2 linked regions of the Cricetulus griseus genome follow. The protein of the gene in region 1 purifies or fractionates together with the protein of each later gene. This does not show direct contact. Links are inferred from orthologs where the notes say so. Each region holds a gene or a part of one and is shown on either strand. Other genes may lie near its edges. The genes, in order: Rbm28 and Rexo4.

Region 1 (8,667 bases):
TTCATAGTCATAAACTGTATGCCTAGTACTGAAAAGCTTCTTTAAAATGTTTTCCTTGATATTGAGGAAATAACACGAGAGAATGTTAACCAGTCAGAACACGGCTGACAGTACTGTTAGTGATGAGTACCTACAGTATTTCAGATGTGCCCATTTGGAACCCGTTACAGTTTAGTGCACTTCTGTATATTGTACAATATGTGCATTGGTTGTAGAACCATTCCCTCCAAGATTTTAAAAAATTAAATTTTTTTTCTCTTTTTGTTTCTTATTTATAACTACTGTTTGTTTTTTTCTTTTTCTACTCACAGTGTAGAGTGATGCGGGACCTTAAAGCAGTTCATGGAAAAACGAAGGGTCAGTCCCTGGGCTATGCCTTTGCAGAGTTCCAGAAGCACGAGCACGCCCTCAGAGCCCTCCGCCATATCAACAATAACCCAGAAATCTTTGGCTCTCAGAAGGTAAGCCTCAGCCTCCAGGGAGACCCCATTTTTCTGAGGGTTTAACTGTTCAGTGCCCCCGATATTTGAATGGTGGGAAGAGTACCAAGTGGTCTGGGTGGAGGTGGGGAAAATAGATGGTAACTCTAGGCAAGAAGATGCTTATAAAATGAGTAGACTGGACGGACTGCCTACAGAACTGGCATTAAAGAAGACGTGAGAAGCAGCCTCCATGTTTACAGAGGCTGGGTGGAAGGACCAAGTAGGCTTATTGCACTCACAGGTTACAAAGTCTTACGAATGACATTCTGTCTCCCTGACAGAGACCGATAGTGGAGTTCTCTTTAGAGGATCGAAGGAAACTTAAAGTAAAGGAGCTGAGGATCCAACGCAGCCTGGTATTGAACCTAAATGTTTGATTGGGTTTGGTTTTGTCATCTATCTATGTATCTATCTATCTATCTATCTATCTACCTACCTACCTACCTATCTATGGTGTGTGTTGGGGGTGGGGGGAGAAAATGCCTTTGTGTCTGTACCTTTTCTTCTGGAGGTCAGAAGACAACTTGGGGACGTTGGTTTTCTCTTTCTACCATGTGTGTCTTGGGATTGAACTCAGGCCATTGGGCTTGGTGGCAAGTGCCTTTACTTGCTGAGCCATCTTACTAGGCTTTGTTTGTTTGGTTTTGGTTGTTTATGACAATCTCACTGGGTAGCTCTAGCTAACCCAGAACTCTCAAAGATGTCTCTGCCTCAACTGCTGGGATTTAAGGTGTATGCTGTCATATCCAGCCCTTTTTTTTTTTTTTTTTAGAGCTTAATTAAACTTCCTTTTTTAAATTTGTGCTTCTGCGAAGTAGGATTTTACTCAGTTTCTCCTAAGACTCCCTGGTGTTTTCTTCTTTGCTGTCTCTCTTCTGAGCTGCACAGAAGGGCAAGATAGGAGGAATGCAAACCGATGTTCCGATCCATCATGAGCTCTTGTATGGTGTGTGGGGGCCGTGTCAAAACTAGTGGCTCAGGTTAAGTTTCAGAATCATCATCTGAGACAGGGGCTCCCTTTGTCGTCTAAACTTGTCTTGAACTCAAAATCCTCCAGTCTCAGCATGACACTGGGTATTTTTAGATCATTTCAGTTAGTGTGGAGAGAGGAGTACCTGTGGCCTTCATGGAGAACCTGGGGTCCTATCCTTGTACATGCCAACTCTTTACCCCAGATAATATTGCCTTTAGCCAAGGCTTCAGGGGGGTTTCTGAAGCTGCCTGTGTTTTCTTTGAATTCTTTGTTTCCTGTGTTTATTCTCATACTGCACTTTCATTATAAAGTGGTCTGTTCTCCTGACTTACAGGGCCATTTCTCACTTTCCTCATTCACAGCAAGTGAACCTTCCACTATAAGATAAGCCCTCATTACATAGGCTTCCATCAACTTCCTTGATTATTTGTTTTTTATTTTATTTATGTGTGTCTTCTTTTAGTTACTGTTTTATCGCTGTGATAAAACACCATGACCGAAAGCAGCTTAGGAAAGGGAGAGTTTATTTGGGCTCATGCTTCTGAAGGGTAGGACCCCATCCTGGCAGGGAGGCCTAGCAACAAGCAGCAGGCATGACCACAGAGGAGGAAGCTGAGAGCCCACACCCTCAACTGCAAGCCTCAAGCAAACTGGAATCAGGGCACGCCTATGAACTCTCAAAGCCTGCCCTTGCTAGTGTTTTCCTTCACTGTACCTCTTTAACCTTCCCAAACTGTACCGGGCTTTTTCCTTTAGGCCACTAACCAGCTCCCAAATCATGACACAGAGATTTATTAGTAGTTTGGAATGCTCGGCTTAGCTTAGGCTCATTTCTGCTAGCTCTTTTAACTTAAATGAACCTGTTTCTTCTTATCTACCTTTTGGCTTGAGGCTTATTACCTTTCTCACTTCTTTTTTTTTTTAATTTTATTTATTTATTGTATTATGTATTCAATATTCTGTCTGCATGTATGCCTGCAGGTCAGAAGAGGGCACCAGATCTCATTACAGATGGTTGTGAGCTACCATGTGGTTGCTGGGAATTGAACTCAGGACCTCTGGAAGAGCATTCAGTGCTCTTAACCTCTGAGCCACCTCTCTCCAGCTCCCACCTCTTTCTCACTTCTATATATCTGTCTTTCACTGCTTCTGTATGTCTGGCGCCCCCCCCCCCCCCCCCGTCTTGCCCTAGGGGCATGTCCTTCATTCTCTCCTCTCTTCTCCTTCCTCTTCTAGATACTAGATTTCTCCTATTTATTCTCTCTGCCTGCCAACCTCACTCCATCCTGTTGGCTGTTCAGCTTTTTATTAGACCAATCAGTTACCTTAGACAGGCCAGGTGAAACAAATGCAACACACGTTTACGAAATTAAACAAATGTAGCATAAGCAAATGTGCATCTTTGCCTAATTAAAATAATATTCTACAACCAACACCATCTGGGGACCAAGCGTTTAGACACCTAAGTCTGGGGGATATTTTCATTCACACCACCACATGTCTTTTATTTACACTAGTCTGGGAATCCTAAAAGTAAACATTTTGTTGTTTGTAACTGTATCTTACAGACAGACTAGTGCACAGTAGGCATTTAATTAATATTGTATCAACATGCCTATTTAGATTAAATTACAAATGGCAAAATAACATTTATTTTTACATTCATTTTACTTGACTCTTTTTCCTAGATCAGTGCTGGTAAACCTTCAACATCCTTATGCTTGCATTTGAAGCTCTAGCATCCCTTTGCCTTCCTTCCTTCCTTCACTGACCCCATCTCTGACATTCTTACCTTCATGTTGACCTAGGTTTTCAGTTTATGCCATTTCCGGTCTCGGGAGGAATTTGTGTAGCATTTCTTGCAAAACAGATTTCCTGGCAATTGTTTTTTGTTTGTTTGGTTTGGTTTTTATCTGAGACAGTCATTCACTTTTGTGAAAGATAATTTCATTGGGTACAGAATCTAGATTTGGTAATTTTGTCTTTTGGAACCTCAGCTACCTCATGCTATCTTCTGTTTCTATACATTGTTTACTGCAAAGTGACTGATAAATCTAGTTGTGGAGCTTGGGGTGTTTGTTTTGTTGGTTTTCTCTCAGCTCTTAGAGCTCTGGCTTAATGTCTGTCAGTGTTTTGAAATTTCCTAGCTGTATTATGTTAAGTAGTTCTCAGTTGCTTTGTTTCTGCTGCTGTGTTACACTGTGTGTGTGTGGCGGGGGGGGTGGGGGGGGGTGGGGGGGGGCAGGTGTTTTTTGAAACAGAATCTCAAATAGCCCAGATCCATTCCTTCCTTCCCAGTGACTAGGATTCCAGGTGTGTGTTGTCATGCCTGGCCCAGGATTCACTTTTGACAGTTGTTCCTTCCTACTGCTTTTGAATCTTGGGCTACTGCTTAATGTTTCTGGGTTTGGTTTTGTTGGTTTTGTTTTGAGATGGGGGGAGAGAAGAGAGAGGAGAGAGAGTGTGTGTATGTCTGCCCTGCAGTGGTGTGAACTGCTTTGTATGTACTTTGCTGAAGTCTCCAACTCTGTGGAGGAAGAGTCCCTCTTTCAGCACACCCAACAGCAGGCTCATCCTCTGCTGCGTATTCATCAGGTAACCTCATCCAGAAACCAGGTGGCAATTTCTTGTTTTCTGCAGCAAAAAATGTCATCTAAGCCTGTAACCGGTAAGCCCCAAAAGGAGCAAAAAGAACATGGGAAAGACAAGCAACAGAAAGCAGTGAGGCCTACACAGAATCCCAGCCAGGCTTCTGGAGAGCAGAAAGGGAAGGCCCGCCCCACCTCGTGGACAGGGTTCCAGACCAAGGCTGAAGTGGAGCAGGTGGAGCTGCCTGATGGGAAGAAGAGAAGAAAGGTCCTGGCACTCCCTTCACACCGAGGCCCCAAAATTAGGTGAGATGCAGGAGAGCTCTGTAGAGGAGGGAGCTTCTAAGTGCATTTGTCTTGATGCAGCTCTTTTTCTCTGTAGCATTTGTTAGATGAAGAGGGTGTTGGGGCGGTGCTAGTTCCCCATGCGAAGTTAACAGAAAGGTCTCAGCCCCAGCAGAAATGTTGCCTTGGATCAGATGGTAGAGGGAACCTTGGAGGAACCATCAGGGCAGACTGCATGCCATCCTTGTCTTTTCAGAGCTTTTCATGTCAGCTGAGGGTCGCTTATTCTTTCTCTTTGGGACCGTAGATTAGTGTTATGTACATTCAGTGCTGTGACAGTAGATTAGTGCTATGTATCTTAAAAAAAAAAAATCTTGAACCACCACACACCATTATATCCCGCCCCCCAAAAAAAATCTTGGTAAGTAAATGATAGTTTTCGTGATTTCCATTGAAGTCTTAGCAAAAATAAATAGAGACAAACGAATATATAACTATTGTGACTTAGGATATATATACGGTTGTAGACTCCATTTAAGAGTGACTAAGCCAGGTGGTTATGGTGCACACCTTTAGTCCCAGTACTTGGGCATCAGAGGCAGGCGGATCTCTGAATTCAAGGTCAGCCTGGTCTACAGATCTAGTTCCAGGACAGCCAGGGCTACATAGAGAAACCTATCTTGAAAAAACAAACAAAAAAGAAACAGCTATGTATTAAAGAAATTTGTCTCTTGAGTTCTTTAAAAGATTCCAAGGATGGGGCTAGAGAGATGGCTCAGTGGTTAAGAGCACTGACTGCTCTTCCAGAGGACCCAAGGTTCAATTTCCAGTACTCACATGGCAGCTCACAACTGTCTGTAACTCCAGTTCTTGGGAACCCAACATCCATGGCAAAACAGCAATGCACATTAAATAAATTAAATTAAATAAGGAGAGAGAGAGAGAGAGAGAGAGAGAGAGAGAGAGAGAGAGAGAGAGAGAGAGAGAAAGAGAGAGAGGCTAAGGATACTAACCAGAGAAAGAATTAATGCAGCATATACCTGGCTGTCTTATTTCAGGTTGCGGGACAAAGGCAAAGTGAAGTCCCTTCCTCCTAAGAAGTCAAAGCCCCAGACAGGCCAGCGGAAACAGAAGCAGCAGCAGTTACCTTCTTTGCAGGTGAGTTCCGTGGGGCTTGTGGTTTGGGTGCTGTGGCTTTGTGGGACTGAGCAGATCGTCACCTTTCTGAAGTAAGGCTTCTCCGTTCCGGGCTGCAGCTCTTCAGAGGGTGAGGTTCAGTAATGGAGAGGAAAGTAAGCCTCTATGACTTGTCGATCTGCTTGAGCAGTTATCTTGTGTTTCCTGTTTCCTGTACCTGCTTTCCCCCTCTGCAGTGTATGGAAGCAAATCCTACACGTAAATATATCTCAATAGATAGATTGCTCAGAAAAACTTGAGACTACATTTCTAATGGCCAACTCGTCACACAAACACACGCACAATGTCATTATCGTATCTACTGAGATTAATCAGAAGCTCCTTATACTCTCTAATATATAGCCCCTATTAAAATGTTCCTAATTGCCTCAACAGTGTTCTTTATTTTTGGTTAGTGCCTGTTAGGATGCTAACAAAGTCCACACATGACATTTGTGGTATCCCTTCCTCCTTCCCTGCCTTCCTTTCTTCATCCTATGGTGTTTATCCTTTCTTACCACATTCTTTCTCCCCGTGTTGGTGTTGTTAATTTGTTGGATAAACAGTCATTTGTCTTTAAGGATGTATTTTATGTTGAGTTCAGCTGCTTACTTCCTTATGGTATCATGTCACTTGTCCCCGGGGCACCTTGTCTTGACTGTCAGCTGGTAGAACAGTCTAGAGGTATAACCAGATTTAGTTTTCTTGGAAAGAACACTTCACTGTTAGTAATGCCAAGATCAGTCAGTAGGTGTCAGAATTGTCCACTTTATTGTTCTATTGAGAAAATCCCCTCCCATCTTCTCAGTTACTGTTTAGTTTTTTGGCTTTGCAGTGCTAGGGGTCTGACCCAAGGCTGTTAACAGAGTTTCTGTTCTGCCTAGTCCTGCTTCCGTTTAGCCCCAGATAAACACACAGGTTTATATTAATTATAAACTGTTTGGCCAATGGCTTAGACTTCTAAATGGCCAGCTCTCTCTTAATTACTAACCCATAAATATTAATCTGTGCATTTCTACATGGCCTTATCTTACCGGAGAATGCCCAGTGTCCTATCTTCCCTGTAGCTCCAAGGTGTTCTTCTCTGTTTCTCTTCCCAGCATTCTCCTTGTTTGGCAGCCCCACTATACTTCCTGCCTGGCTGCTGGCCAGTCAGCATTTTACTAAACCAATGAGAGAAACATATATTTACAGCATACAGGCAGGACATCCCCCATCACAAGGCTGCTGTCATGCTTAGAAAGTGCTCTACTGTTGACCTATGTCCCTAACTGCTCACCTTTGGCTTTTAAAAACAAGGGATTATCATGTACACCTGTGATTTCATAATGGGTTACAGAATGGTGATTTTCCAATTAAGACAGCCCCTTTGCACTTAAAAATAGAGTTCTAAGACTTGTAGAAAGGAGACTCTTACATATAGGAAAGACAAGTTAGATGATTTTTTTTCCTTCCTCTTGCTCTATCAGTTTCAGAGAAGTGAACTGCTATGTGGCTTGTGAGGCTGGTGTGTGTGTGTGTGTATGTATGTATGTATGTATGTATGTATGTATGTCTGTATTAAGTATTATGGAATCCCAAATTTTCCTGTAACTCACTGTGTTTCAATCAAATGTGGTCATCATTCTTGTTCTAAGGCAACAGAAGCATCTTTGGGTCGGCTCCCTGTCCTTCTGAAATGACCTTGTCTGTCTTTGGTAATGTTGCTTTCTTGTACAAGATGTTCTAGGCCCATCTTATGTGGTTTCTTTCCCAGTTTCTGGCAATAGCCATTTTCCCAAGGAGCTCTAGTTCTTTTGAATAGAAATTAATGGTCCTGTGCTCTATTTTTTTTTTTTTTTAAATAAAGACATTCTTTTATATGTATGGGTCTCTTGCCTGCATGTATGTCTCTGTACTGCAGACATGGGTGATGTGACAGAGACCAGAAGAGGGCATTGAATCCCCTAGGTCTGGAGATACAGGTGGTTTTTTGATGCATTGTGGGTACTGGAAACAGGTTCTGGATCCTCTGGAAGAGCAGCCAGTGCCTTTAACCCTGAGCCATCTCTCCAGCTCTAGTCCTGGGTTCTTGTGCATTTGAGGTCAAGCTTTCTCTTCCTTCCCTCTAAGAGTAGAAGAGTCACTAGCACCCTGTCCTACTCAAATCTGTCTGTGGGAAATTTCTGACCATATCATATTATGTTGTAGAGATCTAGTCTCTGAAATTTTATAAATGGAATTCTTGGGGCAAGAGCAAACAAGGATGTTCAAATTAGGTTTCTCTTTAGAAATCGTCTTCCTAGTGTACCAGCTTATATTCTGTTTGGGGTGTCTTGACAGTAAGGTGATATTTAGTGTTTGAAATTAACTAAGCATGGTGGTCCTTTAAAGGAGGATAGATGAGGGTCAGGAGTTCAAGGTCCTCCTCAAGTATAGAGTGAGTTTCAGGTCTGTAGAAAAGAAGGCAGGCAAGTAAGAAAACAAGAAAGCAAAGGGAGGGAGGGAAAGAAAGAAAAAGGGAAAGACTGATTGTTTTATGTCTCCTGTTTTTCACAGGCACCTAAGAAGAAAGCTAAGGAAAATAAGGCAGAAGCCCACTTCAACCAACTGGTTGAACAGTATAAGCAGAAATTGTTGGGTCCTTCTAAGGGACCACCCCTTATGAAGAGAAGCAAGTGGTTTGATACTTGATGCCGCCTGCAGAAAGCTGTGTCTTTCACAGAGGGGAAGTGCATCCCGATGATACCCCATTCTTGGGGACTCTGTAGGGTGTGTACATTCTTGGTCCCTTCTCCAGCATGGGAGGAAAACATACCTGAAAACACCGTGGAGTTTTTACATCTCATCCATATTGCTGAAACTGTGCATATAATTGTAATTCATTTCTATTTTCTTCTTTGATGGAAACTATTGTAAAAAAGTGTTTTGAAGTACTGAATTTTTAAGATGCCTATTTTGTTATGGAATCTGTAAATGAGCAATTGTGACTTTTGGATGTGTCTCATTTTTAATATACCAAATATATTATTTATGAGTGAACATTTTTAACATTTTTAATTCAGTTAGATAGTCTATAAGAGCTAAGAACAGAGAAAAATGTTTACTAACGTGGTCTTTGAATGTGGTACACATTTGACTTGTAACTGAAGGCCCTGGGCCTGGTACAAGCATCACCTACTAA
Region 2 (9,314 bases), on another chromosome or scaffold:
CAATGCTAACACTGTAATAGTTTCCCACCCTGTGATCTGTCCCCCAGTTCCCACCATGTGACCTACTCACCCTTCATGGCTTCCTTCCTAGTCCCTAACACACTCCATTTTATCCCTCACTGCCATAAAACAGAAAGCAATCCAAGAGCACTGCCCTGGGTAGGAGGCAAACACAGGACACAACACAACAGTCAGGAAAGGTACCTTTTGAATCCGCAAGTATGCTACTCTAGGGAAGAGGTAAGAAATGCCAGGACCTCTGTCATGCCTTATTCCAGAACTCAAAAGGGGAAGAAGGAGAGAAATGAGTCCTGCTATCATCCCCATTACTAAACTCAAATCCTACAGGCATCATACCCTGCTTCAGGTTCTCAGGCCGTATCCCACTGACTGCTGTCCTGTAGTCTGTCACCGGCTCAGTTGGCTTGACGTACTTGTCATAAACACATTTCCCATACTGGTTCACGATGGACACACGGGCTGCGATGCTCTCTTCCCCCTTGGGGCCCACGCCTACCATCTCACAATCCAGGGCCAAGGCTTTTGTCAGGCTGAGGGGAACCAAAGGCCCCAGTATAATAAATATCACAGGCTGGGATTCTAGGCCAGTGAGCCAAGCCCATTCATCACCATTTTGCAACCCTAAGACCTGCTGGGCAGTCATGGCTCAATGCTCCCTTCTCCTCCCGAGAGATTCCAGCCCCAGAAGGCAGAGCATTCCCAGCAGTCATGGCCCAAGCACAGCTTACCCGCCAAAGGCCTGTTCCTTCACCAGGGAGATGGTACTCTTGCTCTTCTGTCCCAGCCGCTTCCGTACCAGCATGGCTGCCTCTGGGCCTATGGCAGCCTCAATATCATCTGGATCCACATCATCAAACCAGATGTCTTCCCTGTGAGGCAAAGATGAGAGTACCTAGCTGTGAAAAGACATGGGGCACTGGATGCCTATTCAAAGAATCTCTCTGCCCAGTTGGTAGGCTGTGAGGAGCAGGAAGGCTGGCAGTGAGAGGGCAGCACCATGAGGGCTGCAGGACTATTTCCCCTGCACACACTGTCCAGCTGAACCTGCTGCTGCACTTCCCTTTTACTGCTGTTCTTTCTTTCCTTGACTATTTTATTCGTATAGGTGTTTTTCCTGCAAGTATTACTTGCATACCTGGTGCCTGTGATGGCCAGAAAAGGGCATGCATGGGATCCCCTGGAATTGGAGTTACAGAAGGTTGTGTGCTTCCATGTGGGAATCCAAGCCTCTGAAACAGCAGCTAGTGCTCTTAACCACTGAGCCATCTTTTCAGCCCCTCACCGCTGTTCTTTTAAATTTGCAAATATACCTATTATCCAAGACTTAGGAACTACAGATAAAAACAACAAATGTAAAACAGAAACATGTGACTCACCAGTAGAAGGACCACTAACATTTTCTAATTAAACAATAGATGTGCTATCAAGACACACAGGTAGGAGGACTGCATGACAGATAGGGACATATGCCTTGCACTGTCTTCACATTTTGCAAGAGTGAGAAAGACAATTGATAGTGGATGCTCCACGGCTATTTTGTAAACTCCAGCTTTTTAGCCTGATTTCAATGTCATTACTCAAAAGTGCTCAACTGACAGGCTTCCTGTTTTGTGTTCTTTGCCTTCTTCACTAGGCTACCCTGACCACCCCCTTACAAATGCTCAGGTAAACATCTATGTGCCTCCCCTGCTTATATTAGCCTTAGGAAAGACGCCTATGTTGCCCGTCTAGGTCAGCCTGCCTATATGACTCAGAAGAGACAGCCAAGCCCACATCCCTTTACCCTTCAGTACTATGTCCTGTAGTCTGTCAGGGGCTGTTAGCTTGACTTGACAAAGCTTTCATAAATACATTTCCTTCTTCTGGTTCCCAAGGAGATGCTTTTGTTTAGGCTAAAGGGAAGGGAAGGGAAGGCTCAGATAGCAGGAGCCAGCTTGCCTTATAAGCATATCCATTCCAAGAGAAGTGTCACTACAGTGCTCATTAAGTAGCCAAAAGACACTAAGCAACACATGCTGCACCTCAGTCCCCCTAATTATATAGAAGGACACACTGAGAAAGAAACCAGCCCAAAGTCATCAACTGGCAAGAGGCAGGACTGGGTTTCACATGACTCATTCTGGTTCCAGCCTACATTATGCCAAAGTTCTTGCTCGAATTTACCTTATGCCAAGCTCTATGTTGGGGTCCAAGGACACCACACTGACTGTACAATAGAGTCTGCCTTCAGCAACCCACACTCTAGGGGAAACACGTGACAAGAGAACAACAAAACAAACACCATAGTGTCAGGTGAGGAAGACTGCACCAGGGCCGAATGGTCATTTCTTCTTATCGGTGAAGACAGTGGAGGCTAGATGCACATTAAGGACCATCTGAATCTGTGGCCCAGGCAGCAAAGGACATACTAGTCACCACAGCAGAGTTGATACTCACTCAGTAGGTGAGGACTGATTCAAGACGACAGCTACCTCCTTAGCTTTCCATTTATGCTTGATGTCCTCCTGATGAGAAGCGTTGTCACTAAATGTCCTCTTCTGGGCACTTTTCTTCTGTTCTGGTCCAGAGGAATTTGTGGGAGGTACAGGTCTCTTCCTGTCCTTCTTAGACAGAGCGGTAACAGAACCCTTAATGGTCTGGTCTTTTTCTGTCCTCTTCCCATCTCCCTTTGCTTTATCTGAAGTCTCTTTTTTGTTCTGCTGGATTATTTGGGGATGCATTTTGTCATCCATCTGAGAGACAAGAGGTTTTTCTGGAGCTTGTGACTTCTGTTTCAGCAGCTAATGGGATCAGAATTAAATACAAGCCACATTTCAATTCTGAACTGACATACCAGATTAAAGAAACTTGTATGCAAATGTATCTACCATCCACATACACACCTCCAGTCACCATCCCCAATAGGAAATTATTTGGGAAAGCATTTTAAAAATTTATTTTTATATGCATGGGTGTTTTGCTTGCATGTGTCTGTGCACCAAATGCATGCCTGGTGCCCAAAGAGGACAGAAGAGGACATTGGATCCCCTACAACTAAAATCACAGACAGTTGTAATCACCATATGGATGCCAGAAATGAAACCAGGATCCTCTGGAAGAGTATCCACATTCTTGATTACTAAGCCATCTCTCCAGCCCCTGGAAAAGCCTGGTTTACTGGCATTGAGATTCCTTTCCTCTGCTTATTACAATGCATAACCCAGCAATGCTGCTTTTGCACTCTGCATTTCAAGCTCTATACCATGTGTACCCGAGTGACTGAATACACCAGAGCACTTCATTAAGCCTGGGGCAGGAGCATCATTTTCACTTCTTTCATAAGAAGTTGCATTTAGAGTGATTCATGGTCAACACTCAAGGACACAATGAACACCTCCTTTACACTGTCTCTGGAGGTTGGCTACACCTCAGGGTCTGAGGAAGACCCAAGGGAAGGGAGTTCAATGGAAAGAAAGAAATCATGTCAAACCATAGATGGTTTGATGGGAGATGTCCTTCTGTATATATGTTTCTCTTATTGGTTGATGAATAAAACACTGTTTGGTAGATAGAGGCAGGAAGATAGGCGGGGCTAGGAGACAAGGAGAATTCTGGCAAAGGTAGGCAGAGAAGCACTGGAAAGGCTCGCCATGTAGCAGAGGAAGGGGAACAGGTCCGGACCATTCTCCGGTAAGATAAGACCACGTGGAAATACTTAGATTAATGGAAATAGACAGAGCTAGCCAGTAAGAAGCCTTAGCCATCGGCCAACAGTTTTATAATTAATATAGCATCTGTGTGTTTACTTAGGTCTGTTTACTCAGACCTTGCAGGAAGAAACCCCATAACAACGGATGGTGAGAAGAGCCATAGCTTTGATCTTATCCAGGCAGAGGCTAGGAGAGCAATTTCTTCTGTGTATTCAAATCCCCAATTAAGACCACAGCAAGATGGTAAACAACTGAGATGATACAATGGGTTTAAGATTCTTGTAGAAACCAGAGCCAACTCAAAGTTCCCTATAGTAAATATGCATTCCACACATTTAATTTTACTTTATCTTAGGAGAAAAAAACAAGAACTGGCTTACAGAACTGTCCACAGGGTTTGGCTGGTCCTGTGTGTCCAGACAGGAAAATCCACACAAAGGAACAAGGTGGAGTGCTATGGACCTCAAGAATGTCTGTACTCTTTCTTATTAACTGAGGCTCCATAGCATACACTCCAGAGGAATACCTGTAGTTTAACAGATCAAAACGCATGGCCAGTAACCCAGTTCTGCTGTTTATATGCTATGCTCTCTGTCTCAATTTCCCCATCTAAGAAACAAGGACAGTAAAAGCACCTCACAAGAATGTAAAAATGTATGAGTGAGGGTTGATATAGTGGTTCACACCAGTCATCCCAGCATTTGGGAGGCTACCTAACATAGGAGGACTACCACTAGTGCAGGAAAACCCTGAGCTACACAAGTTCCAGAGTAGTCGGGGCCAGAGTTCTGGGATATAGTTTAAGACGTTGGCAGGGTAGCAACCAAGATATGGGATTTATGATTGAAAAAATAATAATTTGAGTAAAGCAAAGAGCAACTTGTATAGTATATAGAAGCATCGGCCACTACTAAAATTGTCAAAAGGCCAGACAGCCACAACTGCACTACTGCCGTGCCTACAAGGCCGATGTTCCTGTGAAGGAGTCTGCGCAATGTGGAGCGGCCAGCCCTTCCACGTTTTGGAATCACCCACAGTTCTCCTTCGTGGTCTGTGGCTACCCGACCAAAAGTCTGGGATGAAGGTGGCCTGTCGCCAGTCTCACCTCTTGCAGCGCCTTCCAATTTTGAGAAAAGTTCTCTGGGGCCTTTGGCGGTCGGACTGCGACAGCTGCTGGGAGGCTTCCCGGGGCCACGCTTCCTCCCTGCGCTTTGCTCTTCCTGAACCTCTTCCTGGCTTTCTTCCGAACGAGCTCCTTGATAGGCTCAGGTTGGGAAACCGGCGCCGTGGCCTTCGCCTTCATCTTGTCGTTCTCAGCAGCCCGACCCAGGAGGGAAGAGACTCGAACTCAGTGGCGACGGCGGAAGCACACCCGCAAAAGTACCTCCACAGCGCTTGAGGAAGCCCGGATAGCGCTTCTCTTCGCAATCTGCTGGAAACCGAGTCTGCACCTCTGGTTCCGCACGCATGGGAAGTGGGCAACAGGTCCGCCAGTTAACACCATACAGGCTGCCGGCTCTGGTGAGTGGCGCCGCGGCTGAGGACCCAGAGTTTGACAGAAGGGACCCCAGGCCTTTACCAAAATTAGGAGTCATCAGAGGGCGGGAATGATGAGAAGCAGCGACACCGGAAAAGACTTGGAGGACCACTCCTGGTGTGGCACCGCGCGGGAGGCCGGAAGGAGCTCGGGCGGAGCTTTTGAGGGTTGCACAGCCAGACCGCATTGCTAGTCCTGTTTACCGAATCTTACGGCTGCGTGGCAAGCCAGTTATTTTTGAGAGCAATGATAAAACAAGATTTTAATTGTGAAAATGTACATATATTTTTCTTAACCTCCGCCTTAATAAATGACCAGCAATCCATGCTTGACCCTTAATTTACACAGATGAGGCCTCCACCTTCGTTCGTTTGAGAAGTACAGCAAGTCCACAGGCCACTTAGGAAGGTCAGGGAGACACTTGGTGGAGGTGGTGAGAACCCCTGTGCCAAACATGTTTGGCATCCCTCTCTACTTAAGTTAAAGACCCAAGGAATCCAGATGAGTTCAATGACTAGGAGAGAAACGAAGTTTTGTAAATTGCAAATTTAGCACTTGCATAGTTATCCGTGGTAGTTCGAGATCTAGAATCGAAGTGGGTATTTTTCCCCTCTCAAGGTACTGTCTGCTTAGAACACAATCACATTTCATGATTACTCATTTCTTATTACAGAATGTCCTCTGGGTATGACCTCTTGGTAGTAACCAAACCTTTCATTTATTGAGCATTCACTGCGTGACAATTGCTTTTACACACTTTGATTTATGTAATTTCAACAATACATGAAGTGGTGCTTTTTAAAATTTAAATTAGAAACAAGCTCCTTTTACATGTCAATCTCAGTTCCCTCTCCCTCCCCTGCCCCCCACTGATCCCCAATCCCAACCCTATTCTACTCCCCAGGGGGTGTGAGGCCTTCCATGGGGGATCTTCAAAATCTGTCATATTTGGAGCAGGACCTAGACCCTCCCAGTGTATCTAGGCTGAGAGAGTATCCCTCTATGTGGAGAGGGCTCCCAAAGTCCATTCCTGTACTAGGGATAAATAATGATCCATTACCAGAGGCCCCACAGATTAACCAGACCTCCAAACTGAAATCCTCATTCAGGGAGTCTGGAACAGTCCCATTCTGGTTTCCCAGCTATCAGTCTGGGGTCCATGAACAACCCCTTGTTCAGGTCAGCTGTTTCTGTGGGTTTCTCCAGCCTGGTCTTGACCCCTTTGCTCATCACGCCTCCCTCTCTGCAACTGGATTCCAGAGTTCAGCTCATGTGTAGCTGTGAGTGTCTGCTTCTGCTTCCACCAGCTACTGGATGAGGCACTTTTTTTTTTTTTTTTTTTGAGCCGGGGTTTTTGGGTTTTTACTATGTAGCTCAACTGGGCTGGAACTTGCTTGTAGATCAGGTTAGCATAGATCTGCCTGTCTTTATCTCCCAAGTGCTGGAATTAAAGGTGTGTGCTACCACGCACCTTCAAAATGTCTGTTTTTGTTTTGTTTTGTTTTTTTGGTTTTTTTGGTTTTTCGAGACAGAGTTTCTCTGTGTGGCTTTGGAGCGGATCCTGGTCCTCGCTCTGGAGACCAGGCTGGCCTCGAACTCACAGAGATCTGCCTGCCTCTGCCTCCTGAGTGCTGGGATTAAAGGCGTGGCGCCACCAACGCCCAGCCAAAAATGTCTGTTTTAATACTAACTTTTACTGATGGAAAAATAGGTCAGAAAAATCTAAGTAATTTGTTCAAGGTCACATAGTTACTATGGTGGAGCTAGGATTTATTTATTTCCAATTTTCTGTTGGTGCTATCAAACCCAAGGTTTTACACATACTACTCAAGTACTCCCTCTACCTTTATACTTTCATCCTAGGAACTGGGATTTTAATTAATTTGTTGAGTTCTGTGGCCTGTAATGTCAATATTCATGCTATTTCCTTCTTTAATTTTTTCATGCAATACAATTTTGATTATTGTTCCTTCCATCACCTCTTTCCATATCCTCCCCCTTCTCACTCTGCACCCAGCTGCAGGTTCTTTCTCCCTCCCCTGTCTCTCACCAGAACTAAAATCAAAATAAATGCAAATGACAAAACAAAACAAAAAGCCCACGGAAAACCCCATGGAGTCTGTTTTATGTGGCCAACTGCTCCTGGACATTGAGCCTGTCCTGGAGTATGATTAATATACCTAATGACGTTCCACTGAAGAAAACTTACCTTACCTTTCCCAGCAAGTTAACAATCACAAATGACTTCCTGGTTAGGGGTGGGACTTTGTGTCTACTTCCTCTTTCTCATGAAAGGCCCGCTGCCTCTCTGTCTCCCCCCCGCCTATGCTGATGCTGGGTGTTCTCTCTGGAGCAGGGCAGAGCCAGGATACGGCCAGGGGCTGGAGAGTGCAGCGCGGGGCGATAATTGTCCGGGAGCTGCGAGCTGCCGCAGAGCCGCCCTGCTTCACCTTCATCCTGCTGTCCCTGCCCCCGCCGGCCTCCACTTCCCCCGGCTGCCGTTTTCCCTCCCAAGCCGGTTCACCCAGGCGGGGCTGCCCTGGCACCGCGCCGGGGCTGGGGCCGAGCAGGGAAAGGGCACCCCTCGCCCCCACGCCCCCCCCCGTTGAGAAACACTCCGTCCCAAGGTCTCCGCCCCCAAGGTCAGCCACCTGGGCGCGGAGGGAGGAATCAAGTCTGTTGTACCAGACACCAGACCTTGAGAATATGCTGATCTGGAATGGCTCTGTGCCTCATTTGAACCATCAAATAGAATCCCTGCTCCTAGCTTGCGCCTTTTTCCCTATATAAGGACCCCTTTCCCTTGGCTCGGCGCGCTTGGCCTCAGAAAAGCTAAGTCGCCCCGGGTACCCGCGTCTCCAATAAAGCCTCTTGTTTTTACATCCAGTTCGTGGCCTCGCTGATTCCTGGGTGTGAGTCTCCCTCTACAAAAGTATCCCTTCGGGGGTCTTTCACTCAGTGCTAGGATTTTGTCTGGCTTGAACCTTTGCAGGCCCTATGAATGGTGTCTCAGTCTCTGTGAGTTTGTATGAGTCGTGTTTTAATCTGAAAGACACTGTTTTGTTGGAGTCATTCACTGGCTCTCTTATATTCTTCCCACCTCCTCTTCCAAATAGATGCCTGAGCCTTGAGGGGAAGATTTTGACATCCCATTTAGGGCTAAGTGCTCTGAAGTCTCTCACTGTTTACACATTGTCCAGTTGTTCTCTATGTTAATTCACATCTACAGCGAGAAGTGTCTCTGATGGAGATGAGATGCACTGATTTATGGGTATAGTAATATGTCATTAGGAGTCATTTTATTGCTAGGCTCCTTTAGCAGAATAATAGTAGTCGTTTTCCTCCTAGACCTATAACATATTTGGTCTCAGGTGCTTGGCCACTTTAGCAGTGTCCTGTATGGGTCCCATCTCATGGAGCAGGACTTAAATCCAATCAGCAGGCCTTAAATCCAATCTCATAACTAGGGCTTACAGACCTAGTTTAGTTTATTTCATCTTTATTTAACTTTGGTAAGTCATATATTTCAAAAAATTAATCAGTTTCTTTTAGGTTTTCCAGTTTGGTGGAATATGTCTTTATGATTCTCTGAATTCCTTTGCTGTGTATTGTATTCTCTCTCTTTTCCTCTCTAATTTTGTTAATTTGGCTCTTCCATCTTTTGGTTAATTTGGCTAAAAGTTTGTTGGTTTTCTTTCTTTCTTTCTTTCTTTCTTTCTTTCTTTCTTTCTTTCTTTTTGTTCAAGCATTATTTTTTTAAAATTAGTAACAAACTTGCTTCACATGTCAATCCCAGCTCCCTCTCCCTCCCCTCCTCCTCCACCCCCCACTAGCCCCCTCAAGCCCCCACCCCATCCCCCCTCTGCTCCCCAGGGAGGGTGAGGCCCTCCATGGGGGATATCCAAAGTCTGTCATTTCATCCCAGGCAGGGCTTAGGTCCTCCCCCACGTGTCCAGACTGAGACAGCATCACTCCATGTGGAATGGGCTCCCAAAGTCCATTTGTATGCCAGGGATAAATACTGGTCTACTACCCGAGGCCCCATAGATTGTTGAGGCCTCCTCACT

What was found.
Region 2: the proteins of Rbm28 (region 1) and Rexo4 purify together in Homo sapiens (affinity purification with mass spectrometry; 3 studies listed by BioGRID and IntAct, with this or other methods). This does not show direct contact. The link is inferred for Cricetulus griseus from reciprocal best matches to the Homo sapiens genes RBM28 and REXO4.

Annotation. Positions count from the first base shown.
Region 1 is NW_023276806.1:198,679,794-198,688,460, forward strand, and holds the end of Rbm28 (RNA-binding protein 28), read left to right. Parts: intron 1-311; coding exon 312-461; intron 462-763; coding exon 764-838; intron 839-4,095; coding exon 4,096-4,349; intron 4,350-5,386; coding exon 5,387-5,486; intron 5,487-8,042; coding exon 8,043-8,177; 3' UTR 8,178-8,525; downstream 8,526-8,667. UniProt on the Homo sapiens protein: Nucleolar component of the spliceosomal ribonucleoprotein complexes.
Region 2 is NC_048599.1:138,643,242-138,652,555, forward strand, and holds the start of Rexo4 (RNA exonuclease 4), read right to left. Parts: upstream 5,344-9,314; 5' UTR 5,014-5,343; coding exon 4,816-5,013; coding exon of another isoform or gene 4,800-4,815; intron 2,802-4,799; coding exon 2,458-2,801; intron 946-2,457; coding exon of another isoform or gene 930-945; intron 891-929; coding exon 750-890; intron 552-749; coding exon 358-551; intron 1-357.